2 linked regions of the Schizosaccharomyces pombe genome follow. The protein of the gene in region 1 purifies or fractionates together with the protein of each later gene. This does not show direct contact. Each region holds a gene or a part of one and is shown on either strand. Other genes may lie near its edges.

The links.
Region 2: the proteins of rpc10 (region 1) and tfa1 purify together in Schizosaccharomyces pombe (affinity purification with western blotting, with the first as the bait; one study listed by BioGRID). This does not show direct contact.

Annotation. Positions count from the first base shown.
Region 1 is NC_003423.3:1,672,205-1,678,451, forward strand, and holds rpc10 (DNA-directed RNA polymerase subunit Rpc10), read left to right. Parts: upstream 1-3,434; 5' UTR 3,435-3,530; coding exon 3,531-3,606; exon of another isoform or gene 3,607-3,659; coding exon 3,660-3,775; 3' UTR 3,776-3,984; downstream 3,985-6,247. Other genes in the region: ATP-dependent RNA helicase Cdc28, read left to right, coding at 1-1,545; pmt1 (DNA methyltransferase), read left to right, coding at 1,862-2,029, 2,074-2,898; ubiquitin hydrolase Ubp11, read right to left, coding at 4,320-5,372. UniProt on the Schizosaccharomyces pombe protein: DNA-dependent RNA polymerase catalyzes the transcription of DNA into RNA using the four ribonucleoside triphosphates as substrates.
Region 2 is NC_003424.3:4,742,529-4,750,093, forward strand, and holds tfa1 (transcription factor TFIIE subunit Tfa1), read left to right. Parts: upstream 1-2,000; 5' UTR 2,001-2,055; coding exon 2,056-2,162; exon of another isoform or gene 2,163-2,204; coding exon 2,205-2,300; exon of another isoform or gene 2,301-2,341; coding exon 2,342-2,483; exon of another isoform or gene 2,484-2,611; coding exon 2,612-3,571; 3' UTR 3,572-3,664; downstream 3,665-7,565. Other genes in the region: phosphatidylinositol 3-kinase Pik3, read left to right, coding at 1-114; WD repeat-containing protein Atg1803, read left to right, coding at 341-455, 507-607, 656-744, 801-892, 942-1,639; MAP kinase-interacting protein Sin1, read right to left, coding at 3,665-3,755, 3,795-5,678, 5,738-5,760; mid2 (septin ring organizing protein), read right to left, coding at 6,611-7,565. UniProt on the Schizosaccharomyces pombe protein: Recruits TFIIH to the initiation complex and stimulates the RNA polymerase II C-terminal domain kinase and DNA-dependent ATPase activities of TFIIH. Both TFIIH and TFIIE are required for promoter clearance by RNA polymerase.

The sequences.
Region 1 (6,247 bases):
CATGAAAGAACGCTTCATACAGACATTTTATTTGGACTTGTAAAGGATATTGCTAGATTTCGTCCAGATTTAAAGGTTCTAATTTCGAGTGCTACTATAGATGCCGAAAAATTTTCGGCTTACTTTGATGAAGCTCCAGTGTTCTATGTTCCTGGCAGAAGATATCCAGTCGATATTTATTACACCCCGCAACCTGAAGCAAATTATATACAAGCGGCTATTACAACCATTCTTCAAATACATACTACCCAGCCTGCTGGTGATATTTTAGTTTTTTTAACGGGCCAAGATGAAATTGAATTAATGTCCGAAAACATGCAAGAACTTTGTCGGATACTAGGAAAAAGAATTCCGGAAATAATTTTATGTCCGATTTATGCCAATCTGCCTTCTGAATTGCAAGCTAAAATTTTTGATCCTACACCCCCTGGTGCCCGCAAAGTTGTATTAGCAACCAATATTGCTGAAACTTCTATAACAATTGACGGAGTGAATTTTGTGATTGATTCTGGATTTGTCAAACAAAACATGTATAATCCAAGGACTGGTATGGAAAGCTTAGTATCTGTGCCTTGCTCCCGTGCTTCTGCTGATCAGCGTGCCGGCCGTGCTGGTCGAGTAGGACCTGGAAAGTGCTTCCGTTTATATACGCGTCGGACATATAACAATGAACTGGATATGGTAACATCTCCTGAAATTCAAAGAACAAATTTGACAAATATTGTTCTCTTGCTTAAATCCCTAGGAATTAATAATCTTTTAGATTTCGACTTCATGGATGCTCCACCACCTGAAACGTTGATGCGTTCATTAGAGTTATTGTATGCGCTTGGTGCCTTAAACAATAGAGGAGAATTGACTAAGCTCGGCAGGCAGATGGCAGAGTTTCCTACAGATCCTATGCTTTCTAAATCTTTGATTGCATCTTCAAAGTATGGATGTGTTGAAGAAGTGTTATCAATTGTTTCTATGTTAGGGGAGGCTTCCTCTTTATTCTATAGACCAAAAGACAAAATAATGGAAGCGGATAAAGCTAGAGCGAACTTTACCCAACCTGGTGGTGATCATTTAACTCTTCTTCATATTTGGAATGAATGGGTAGATACTGACTTTTCGTACAATTGGGCCCGTGAAAACTTTTTACAGTATAAGAGTTTATGTCGAGCTCGAGATGTTCGTGATCAACTTGCCAATCTCTGTGAACGGGTGGAAATTGAATTGGTAACTAATTCTTCAGAGTCCCTTGATCCTATTAAGAAAGCTATCACAGCTGGTTATTTTTCTAATGCTGCACGCTTGGATCGTAGTGGGGATTCTTATCGCACTGTTAAAAGTAATCAAACCGTTTATATTCACCCTAGTTCTTCTGTAGCTGAGAAAAAGCCAAAAGTCATCATTTACTTTGAATTGGTTTTGACAACTAAGGAGTATTGCAGACAAATTACTGAAATACAACCCGAGTGGCTCTTGGAAATAAGCCCCCATTATTTCAAGCCAGAAAATATAGAAGAATTGCAAAAGACGCAAAAACGACATAAGCGGTAAAAGAGTGGAAAAGGAAAATTAGTTTTAAAGGCGATTTGGTTGTATATAATCATAATGAATTTATGTTTCACAATAATGGACAAACTTTTAAAAGATCTCATTTAGTTAGCTTCAAAAAGACGTACAGTTTTGTTTAAGTCATCATGTTGTATATTAATTACTTTTAATACTAAAAAACATTTTATCGTTTTTGAAAAGGCCCGAAATGCTCATGACTTTTCAAGCTTAACAAATCCAAGCAAAAAATCTAATGCAGGTAGGTCTTTTGTAACCCTCACTAAACGATTACCGAGTGTTGCATGCTCGGTTACATTCAATGCTTAGTACAAAAAGATTACGGGTCCTGGAGCTATATTCTGGTATTGGAGGTATGCACTATGCATTGAACCTGGCAAATATACCGGCTGATATTGTGTGTGCAATAGATATCAACCCACAGGCAAATGAAATTTATAACCTCAATCATGGAAAACTTGCTAAACACGTATGTTTCAAGGATTTACTCGATAACTATATTAATACTTATAGATGGATATTTCAACTTTAACGGCCAAGGATTTTGATGCATTTGACTGTAAATTATGGACTATGAGTCCCAGTTGTCAACCTTTTACTAGAATAGGAAACCGTAAAGATATTCTTGATCCTCGTTCCCAAGCATTTCTAAATATTTTAAATGTGCTTCCTCATGTAAATAATTTGCCTGAGTACATTCTAATTGAGAATGTTCAGGGTTTTGAGGAGAGCAAGGCAGCTGAAGAGTGCAGGAAAGTTTTGAGGAATTGTGGTTACAACCTAATTGAAGGTATTTTGAGTCCAAACCAGTTCAACATTCCTAATTCTCGCAGTAGATGGTATGGATTGGCTAGGCTCAATTTCAAAGGAGAATGGAGTATTGATGATGTTTTTCAATTTAGCGAGGTAGCGCAAAAAGAAGGCGAAGTAAAAAGAATAAGAGATTATTTGGAGATAGAAAGAGATTGGTCTTCATATATGGTACTAGAGTCTGTGTTAAATAAATGGGGCCATCAGTTTGATATAGTTAAGCCAGATAGCTCTTCCTGCTGTTGCTTTACACGGGGATATACACATTTAGTACAAGGTGCAGGCTCAATTTTGCAGATGTCAGATCATGAAAATACGCACGAGCAATTTGAGAGGAACCGGATGGCTTTACAACTTCGGTATTTTACCGCCAGAGAAGTCGCCAGGTTAATGGGATTCCCGGAAAGCCTCGAATGGTCAAAGTCTAATGTAACCGAAAAATGTATGTATCGCTTATTAGGAAATAGTATAAACGTTAAAGTTGTTTCATACTTGATTTCTCTATTACTGGAACCTCTAAATTTCTAAAAGCGGTTAGAAGTCAAAACTATTTTTTTAAAATGAAAGGAAAATTAATATTACTCGATAAAAGTTCTGCAAAAAAAGGCACTTATTTCAATTGGAATTACCCTTTAATGCATACAGTGTTTCTGAATGCTTTATATAACTAATTACCAGGACTAATTTCAAGACAAAGAAATCGTATATTTATACACTAAAAATTGGAGAACTCGGGGAATACATTATTTTTGAGCTATTGTATTTATCCTCACACGTACACATAATTGTTATGAAATATAAATTAAACAATCTAGTTATTTATCGATTTAAATTTAAAATTATGTATCCAGCCCTTTATTCTTTTGCTAGATTTAATAAAGGTTAAATTTAAAAGAACGTCAAAATTAGATACGAAATTATATTTGAAGTTTATATATCCAATAAATGGAAATGTACTTGAAGTACTTTAAATGAGAACTTTTAACTCATTAATGTATTATAAGATTAGCTTCCCAATTTTTTTTGAAGCGTTAATATTGAGAATAGTATGGTAGTAAAAATTTGCGCGCTACTACTCACCACCACAATTAGAAAGTTCAAGTGAGGAAGTAAAATCACAGGATTTAACTAGACTCAAATACACTAAAAAAGTTTACAAAATGAATCATCCAACCTCCACTGGCGGTACCGCTTTCAATCCCCCCAGACCAGCCACTATGATTTATTTATGTGCGGGTATGATCATTGAGTAGAATTAAATGAGTATATGATAAAAGACTGACCATCAGATTGCGGAGCGCGTAATACAATCCAAGCGAAAGAAGTTATTCGTTGTCGAGAGTGTGGGCATCGTGTTATGTACAAAATGAGAACCAAGAGAATGGTTCAGTTCGAAGCACGCTAAGTTTTAGAGTTTTCAGACTATGAAAAGAGAAAAACGGAATTATAACTTTTAAAATTTGAGAAATGGCTTAAAAATGGTGTAATATGCAGGTCCTTATGCTTAATTCGAGAAATTAGAAGGTCCTGGGGTTAAATGGATAACCCATGACAATAATAACATTTTGGATATTTGATGCATTAAAAACTGTGAATTGTACATGATGAGTATATCTAAAATTTTTTTTAGTAAATTATAAGTCATTTGGCGACGGTTTGAAAGTGCCATGTGTACTTTAACCATGCCTATAAAAAATCGTCCACTTGAAAATCTTAAAGTCAAGAAAACCGATTTTATGGACAGATACGGTGGATACATACATACATATATTTTCATACACAAGTTTTGCAAAATATTAGTATTGAATGCTTTAGCTACAAAACAACAGGTTATAATTTGAAGCTTTCAACAGTTTATAAAGGGTGACATCAGTCGGAATCATTAGGAGAAATATCAAGAATTTTTTATTAAGGTACAAAAACGTATACGATTAACTAGCATATATGCGCTAATCAAGCGCAAGAGGAGATTCCATTTCGTAAAACAAAAGACAAGCTGAACGAGTTTGACTGAGAGCTTCATTGAGAGATGATTTAGTAATTAAAGAATCATTAGCCTTCCACCAAATGTCATCTTGAAGTCTATAGCAAAGATAATGACCATAAGTAACACTTCCGGAATGGGTGATTAAGGATCGTAAAATATAATGATGTTTGTTTTTTAGGATAAGTTTGCTAGGAAATGAGATAGAAACATTATTTCTGGTTAAACCTTGGCAGGTATATGATGTTCTCTCAAGTTGAATTTGCAAAATCGTAGGAGGATTTTTCCAATCAACGGTACGAATGCATGAAGTTTTGGAATGTTTTGGGGAGGATTTGAAGCAAGAGTCACATTTATAGTCAGAGATGTGCTGTTCGCGATCGGCTTCCATTAAAGAGAGCAAGGAAACGTTAGAATTTCCACTGTACTCCGGAGGTAGACAAAGCTGTATCGATGTGGCAGTAGAATAACTAATACTAATGGCAAGGCATTGACAACATTGTACCTTTTGCTCCATAGTTCCTATGAATGGCGAATCTACAGGAAAGGAGAGTACCTTCGACCATTTGTAAGTGTGAGGTTTTTGAAGTTCCAAAGTTTCCACTAGATGTTGTAGAAACTCTTGTGCATCTTGTTGAATGGAACGAACAAGTTTTTTATTAGTGGCAATCTCTAATGAATTGAGGAAGGAACCGGGAGTGATTGGATTACCGGGGCCACTATTTAATTTTTGCAGAAGTTCATAAAGGGTAGCGTATAAGGTAGAGGAAGAACAACGGAGTTTTAGGATTTCCAATAATGATTCTTGACTTGCTAGGGATTGCAAAACACAATTGAGGAAACAATCGTTACCCGAAACATTGTAAAGGCCTTTGATGGAGGCGTTTTTCACCAACCTCTTGCCAGTGGAAGGAGAGGTAACGATGTAAAGGGCAGCAAACGTAGTTAAAATGGCGGCACCCTTGAAAACTGTTTTGTATTTTTTTGCCCTAGAAATGGACAATGGCGTTGTAGACATGATAATGAATGCATGCAATGAAGAATTAGGGAAAAGAAATTATTAGAGGTAACAGAGAATATAATTTACAAAAGAAAAAAAAAATTTATGCATAAAAACAAATTTTTTTTGGCAAGGGAAATAAGAATAGAAGACGAGCGTTAAGTCACAGCATATATCCACTAGGTTGTTGTTACTAGCTTTATTGGTATAAACGATAACACGAGTCCAATGGCGGTGAGGTAAAGGACACGATAATAACGTACAATATAGGTATAGTTAGGGAGACGAGGTAATAAGAACCAAACTTTTTGAGCATAAAACAACCTTTTTAGGAAATAATCAGTGATAGGATGAGTAAAAGTTTGAAAGTTTTACAAAGGCAAATTTAAAAAAAAAAACAGTTGTCAAAAAAAGTGTCAGCAATTAGAATGTTGTCGAGTAATGCGACAAAAGACACAAATATTACTTTTTGGGAGGAGGGAGTCAATAAATAAATAGATAAAGTTGAAAGTGGTAGAATGATTTTACCTTTGCAATTTTAGCGATCGCAATAGATGAAATAGGCGATAAGATATGAAAGGATAAAAAAGAAAAAGAAATTAAAAAACGTTAGGAAGTAATTGTAGAGAAATGAAATAGCACAATTTAAAAAAAAAAAAATAAGAAAAGAGAAAAAAAAAGTATAGCGATCCTATCAAAGAGAATAAATTACGATGGAATCAAGAACAAGAAAAAAGGCAAGAGGCGTCTATAAGAAACAGACAAAAGTTTTTTCGAAGAAGAAAAAAAAAGGGATCCAAAAAAGATGGGAGATTTTTTTCACTTGATTATGTGTGAAGGATTTTTTGTAAGGTAAGATTAGACGATGGGGAGGCAGTGCCGATTTGTCGGTA
Region 2 (7,565 bases), on another chromosome or scaffold:
TCTGAATCAGATGCCATCAAATATTTTGAACAATTAATTAATGATTCTGTCAGTGCTCTGTTTCCTCAAATCATAGATCGCATGCACAATCTTGCGCAGTATATGCGATCCTAAACATTAATGACTTAATGATTATATGCCCACATTTACACTTTTTTTTTTATCCAAACTTGCTTTTCCATTATAGCTGTTGTTGAACTAATACATTATTATGCCTAGTAAAAAGGTTGTGTTTTCTAAAGAAAGTGATGAATTGTATAATTGACGGTGTGTAATTTACCGAATTCACCGAGAACAATCTAAAGTAGTTTTGCATAATGCATAAACCCCACAAATTGGAATGTCAACTATTAATACTGTATCATTAAATCAAGATGCCTCATGCATGTCTGTTGCGCTAGATACAGGCTATAAAATCTTTCAAATTAACCCTCTAAAGCTGCGCGCTCAAAGACGTAAGTTTTGCAATATGCAGATCTCTTATTTGAATATTTACAATTGTCTAGAGTTCAATGACGGTGGTCTTTCAATAGTCAAAATGCTTTTTAGAAGCAATGTTTTACTCTTAGTAGGCGGCGGTGGAAATCCAAAATACGCACCAAATAAGGTAAGTTTGAGTAATGCTTTGTTTTCTTTTAGCTAAGCTTGTTTACAGCTTATTGTTTGGGATGATGTGAAAGAGAGGCCGGTAAAAGAGCTTGAATTGAATTTTGAAATAAAAGGAATATGTTTCGATGGGAAATTGTACGTTCTTCTCTTTTATATTGCTTGTCGTCTTATTAACAACTAACATATCTAAGATTAGCAATTGCAACCGCATCAAAGCTATTTTTGTACCAATTCGGAAATAACTTAAAACTACAAAGATGCCTTGATACCCAGAATCCAAAAGGTAAGACATTCTTTGCTTAGCATAGTCGAAGCTGACTTTTGAAATGTAGGCTTATGCGCTATGGTTACTACTGTTGAGAAAACTGCTATCGTTTTTCCTTCTAGAAAGGTCGGCCAGCTGCAAATATTATTTCTTTTTAAGGATCATATGAACACTAGCATAGTGCCTGCACATGATAGTGAGATATCATGTTTGGGTATATCCAAAACTGGTTCAAAAATAGCATCCTCTTCAACAAACGGTACTTTAATTCGTATTTGGAATTCAGAAACTGGAGAAAAAATTTGCGAATTTCGTCGTGGCTATCAACACACGGCAGTTTGTCAATTAGCGTTTTCTCCCGATGAATTATTGTTGGCTTGTGCAAGTAAGAAAGAAACTTTACATATATTTTCTCTTCACGGAAGTCCTAATACAATTCGTCAATTAACGTCTGAAGAACCTTATGAGGAAGCAAGTGAATTTAAATCTTCTACAACCGAACCCCGTCAAACTCACTGGAAACGAAAATTACTTAAGTTAATTGATAGTGGAAAACGTGCACATTGGAGAATTCAGCTTTATCAATCTAACCCTGTACTTTTACATTGGTTAGATGAAATGACTATTCTTATTTGTTACAAGGATGCTGCATATCAGAAATTAAAGCTTACGATTGAAGAATCTTCCAAAAGTGTGGAACATGCTAATCAACATGTATGCTTTCATTATGATTATACACTAGAGGCAGATGGGTCTTTATGCTGATGACTTTCGATTTCTTTCTAGTACTTTACCTTTCTACATTAGATAATTTTGTATATAACTTTTCAAATAACGTCTCATTAATGATTTTATGTTAAACAATGATACTATCCTAATTGTGCATGAATTTTAATACGTATCAAGTTTTAGCTAGTTCACCGAAGAATTTATTGAACAACGGACATTGTGAATAAATTTATAGTAATTTAAGGCAATGGACCACTTTTAAGACTATTATGTTTGAATGTCATTTTAAAAGATGTTTTCTAAATTAACAGTCTTCATGACTATAGGCATTTAAAGAGTCATTAGTTAACGCCTTAAGCAGTGTCTTTTTGTGGTACATTCTCCACTACTCCATCACCCTTTATTATTCGCTGCAAAAACCTTCCTTCGATTTATCGTATCATTTATCTACTATGTCCAATGCTCCAGAAATAGTACAGAGACTTATAAAAATGATTATGAGGGCGTTTTACGAAACTAGACATATAATATTTATGGATGCGATTTTGCGACATTCAGCGTACGTGCTTCACAAGATCAGAACGATTTTAACCTTTGGTAGACTTACAGATGAGCAAACAGCGCTGTTAATGGGTATCCCTATAAAAGAATGTCGGTTTATTGCTGGAAAATTGCGCGAGGATCGTTTATTGGCAATGTACGTGAAGGCAATTCCATGACCAGCTGCTAACCTTTCAGTCAAAGTAGGACGGAAATGAAGGAAGGCCAACAAAGGCAATATCATACAACCTATTTCTATATCGATTTCTGTTCTACGATTGACAGCATTAAATGGCGTATGCACCAATTAGTGAAAACAGTAGAAGATCGAATGCGAAATGTAAGTTCCTTTTTTAATTGGGCCTTTTTTCATAAAAGGTTTACCATATTGTTTCCTTCTTTTTGCTTAGTGTTTTACCCACTACTTTTACGAATCTCTTATTATCGTCACTTTCACTAACTTAGCAGGATTTCGATTCTAAAGGCTATGTTTGTCCATTTTGCAACAAAAAGTTTTCTAGCCTTGACGTTTTGTCTTTGGTGACCAACGAGGGAACTTTTGCTTGTAACGTTTGTGGAACCGAACTCAAAGACGATGAGGAGAGTGCAGAAATGATGTCTAGTCAGAAAAGGCTAGGAAAACTGATGGGACAAGTTAATGGTATAATCGATGCATTGAAAAGGGTGGATGAAATTGTCGTACCACAAAACAATTTCCAATCTGCTTTAGAACATGCGGTTCCTGTTTCGTTAGACACCCAAAATTTGTCGCAACAAAACTTGTCAAAAAGTAATTCAGACGTCCGTCTTTCCACCTCTTCGCCATCTATTACAGTTGATTTCTCTGCTGATAAAGAGACTGATGAAAAGCGTGAAAGGAATTGCGACAAGCAAGTCAAAGCTGCTCAAAACATTCTTCCCGAATGGCATGCAACATCAACAATTTCTGGCTCCATTACTCGTGCTGGAGCTAAAGATGCCGCACTTCATAGTTTTAGAACTGAAACTGTTAATGAGGTTCAAGACACTAAAACAGATATTACTTCTGAAAAGAGCGCCTTAGATGCTTATTACGCAACACTTCGTGCAAAGCAAAAAGAGGAAAGCGAGTTTATGGACAGTGAAAACGTAGATGATGAGGAGGATGATGACTTCTTAGACGTTACGACGGCTACCTCTCTTCAAAACAAAAGTACTGATTATGGGTCGGTCAAGCGTAAAACCGAGAACCTAAATTCAGATAGTGATATCCAAAATAAAAGAACAAAATCGATAGAAGAAAACAATTCATTACCACCTATTGTTTCTACAAATGGTATTACTGATGGTGATACGGAAATGCAAGAAAGTAAAAAGAATGTTATTATTAATGGATTTAATGAGGACGATGAAGACGATGAAGATGAAGCTGATTTTGAAGATGTTTAATAAAAATGACATAGGGGAGAGAGCAATGTGATACCAAAAAACAAAGGTGTTTATACCTATGTATTCATAGAATCTTTTTGTAATAAATAAATGTTAATTTATTTTTTTAACAGTATTCATCAGTGCACGTATCCTGCTAACTATAATGGCAGCTTCCAAGGCGGACAAAACTTCAAAATCATACCTGAACTCGTTAGCTTATTAGCGTTAAAAAATTTCTTACCGCTTAGTTTCCCTATTCTTGGACACAATCATTTTAAAATTACATGGTGATTTTTTAGACTGCTTGCATAAAATAATCGATCCAGCATGTATACTGGACGTCTTAGGCGTTTCAAATATATTTTTGGATTCAGACGGCATTATGTGAACGTATTCTCCATCAATAGCTAGTAGACGCTCATGTCTTCCCATAAATGAAACAGGTTGTCGTTTCCATACAAGAAATTCTTGATAGGTATTGCTCGACATAATATCTGTTGCATTGTATGTTGAAGATTGTGCATCTTTCTTAATAGATCCATAAACGGAATTTTGTGGTGAGGAGGTTGGCAATTGTTGGGTACTTCCTTTTTTATCGCGTACCTTCTTTTTAACAAGTTCTAGAGTTGGATTTCCGTCTAGTGAACTAAATGTTTTATCAAGTGGTAAAACAGTATCAGATCCAGCAACTCGCAGAGTATACTTAAATCGCTCCAATTGCTTCATCCAACACACCTGGTTCAACACCATAGCCAATCTAGTAGTTTTTGATATTTCAATATTGCAAAATCGAGCATTATCCCCGTATGGGGGAAGTCGTACCTGTACGACATGAGAAGTATTAAGTGTATCTTTGACATCCTGAGCTTGCTTTTGTGATTGACTTGAAGTTGAACTAGTATGCCGAATATGCGTTTTGTTATTGGCTTCAGGAATTGATGTTGGATGCTTCGATTTAAACGGGTAGGCAGCTTGATTTTCCTTTATTTGGGCAGGAGTGGCTTTAACTAAAGCAAATGCGTCAAAACCAAATTTTGATAATGGACCTACACGGTCCAAAGCGGGAAAATCTTCATCTAGCTCCCCGTCATCTTCAACAATACGTAAATTCCAATAATTCGGATTTTGAGCCTCATCTTCTATTGGGGGCACGAGTTGCTGGTTAACGTATTGAAGTAAAATATAACCGATAGCCTCAGAGACCAAAACATTCTTTCGGAGTTCTACAAATAAGGGCTTTGAAGGACTTTCGCTCGAAGGAAAATAAATGTTTAAACGGAGGGCATTTGATTCTGCATGTCCAGAAAAAGTAGCAAAATTTTCAGCCAATGGCCCATTCTGGCTACTGTTTTCTTTATGTTCAAGTAATGCACGAAGAGCAGATGTAGGAGCCTTTGCGTTCGAAACAGATCTTGCTTTATTGACTGTATTGTGTGTTCCGCGTTGCTTACCAGGAAAAAGAGCATCAACCGCAACAACTGCATCAGCTTCAGTGTCAGTTAAGGAAGAATTCATTGGAAAAGTAAGAGGAATTTCTCCTTGACTTAAATGAAATGATTCCTCAGAAATCGACCGTAGATCATCATAATCCGTAGAAACACTGCTTTGCTGGTTTATGGAAGACTGTTTGGACGAGGTTAAATTCACTGCCTGCGAGGATTCTACCATGTTGGTAAGCTTAAGATTTGCGATAGCATCAATATTATTTAATGTGGAAATTTTGGGGTCCAGTCTTTCCTCTTCTTTTATACTTGCAACATCCTTCTGCATTGGGACTTTGCTAAAAGAAAATATACACGAGTTATCGTCATCACCCACATCTGAAGATTCGGATAAGTCAGAAGTAGCATAATCAGAATCTTCAGCTCGAGAATGATTAACTTGACCCCCAGCACCATTTACTTGTTTAGTATCACTCGGCTTTCGGACATTGGATACAGTGTCATTAGCGACAATCGGGGGACTTGAAGAAAACGAAGTTTTAGAATAATCATAATCATGAATCAACAAGTCTTGCAATGATTTGTCCAATTCCCATTCCGGGGCCTCAGTAGATATAACTCGATTTTCGATTGAGTCAGGAAGTATATGAGAATATTGCATTCGCAAAAATGTTAACAAAAGACTGTAAAATAAACGTATTAGTTTGTATAAGTTTCATAGGAAAAAAAATAGTATCCTTACACTTTCTCTCTTGTTAATTCCATTCTGAGTCCTTATTATATCGCATTTACAGACTTTATAAAATATTTAATTTCAACGAAGTTTGAATACTTAGCGACCATACTTTTTATGGCACCTTAATATAGAAAATTTGTAAACTCAATTATGTGAAACGTTGGTGACGGACGCCGCGTGCTTTATTTCAGTTGCTATGTATCCCCCGCTAAGCATTTAATTAAGTGTTGGGGGTAACACCGTAAAGTACCACCAAATTTCAAAAGACAGCAAAATATGAACGAAACTATTAATTCAAACAGTTATTAACTGAAGTACAAAAACGCTAGACAATGAAAAAAAGTGATCTCATATACGTTTTAGATATTGCGAAACAGCTAAAAATGGTATTTGAACTATATAGCAATTACGGTATTAATTATTTACAGAATAATGTAATTAAATTATTGTGGAATTTTTATTTTTTGAAGTTTCTCAAATGGCAAGCTTACGACTTAATAAATTCACTCGACAACGCCAAGCTAGAGTATTTTAAGGAATTTGATTTATTTACAAAGCCAAGATAAACGTTTTGAGACAACTTATTTTGACAACGTTTCTTCGGATCAAGGGAAACTTTCAAAAATGAAGTATTTTGCAACTGAAGTATAAATATACATGGGGAGTAGTAAGTAATTGCTATCCGATTTTTAACAGCTTATATAAAACGAGCTCATTTCAACCGAATCTAGCTTCTCGATGGTAGATAAAATGAACATTATGTATTATGCGAGGGAAACAACAAAACCAATGAAAAATGCAAGACGATATAGATAAAGGAGAAGATAAAGACCAAATGTGATTTAAATAGAAAAAGTGAGGTCGAAGCAAATGGTCAATTTAAAAACTCAGCGAAAGAAATGATTTGGTCCAATTTTTGTGAACCATTGAACATTGCCCCAAATGCTGACGAAGTGTAGACATCCACTCATCTTTTTCGCCGACGGTTTCAGCGTAAAAATCGATGTAGTCCCCATTACTGAAAATGATACGGAAACCCGATTCGAAATACAGATACCCTTCTAGTTCTTCTTCATCACTATAATGGTTGTCATCCACGATATGTGTGGCTTCAGACAAATCAATCGTTGCTCTGCGAACTTTAGAGAATTGTTGAAAAGCTACTAACTTTGATCCTATTAATTGAAAATAGCGACGACGCCAATAAGGGCAATCCCCACCTTGTTGACATAGATAACCATCACACAATAAAGTTCTATCCCATTCAGCAAGCTTTAAGTCATACATGGCAGACTCGATTGAAGCGGGAAGTTCTTTCAGAGAGACAGGAAGCGCTGGTAAGAAAAATACGTGGATTTCGAGTTCTCCTACTTTTCGAGGGAGAGGCTTGACATCTTTAGCTGCCGGATCAACAGTCCATTTGTTCATGATTGGTAGAACCATAGATTGACAACGGCCTAGTGCGGTTCGGCTTACAGAATCAGTGTTAATGGTAACTTCGCCGAAAGTTCCATCTTCAGAAACAAATCCATGAAGTGCTTCTGAAACGGGGTCGGTAGTCATAGACTTTCTCTTATTTGTTGAAAATACTTTTCCAAGTGTAGAACGAGTGCGAACCTTAGGTGGATCGTAAGCCGCACGGAGCGTACATACAATTGAAGAACTAATACTTTCATCAAAAGTATACTCATTTTCAATTTTAGTAGTAGAGTGTAAGGCGTTCCATGGTACTTGAATGTGCTTACCAGAGATTGTATAAGTGAACCTAGTGGTCATCCCCGATGCCAAAGGAATAGTTAAGTTTCTGATTTCCATAAGACGGACAAACAATCTT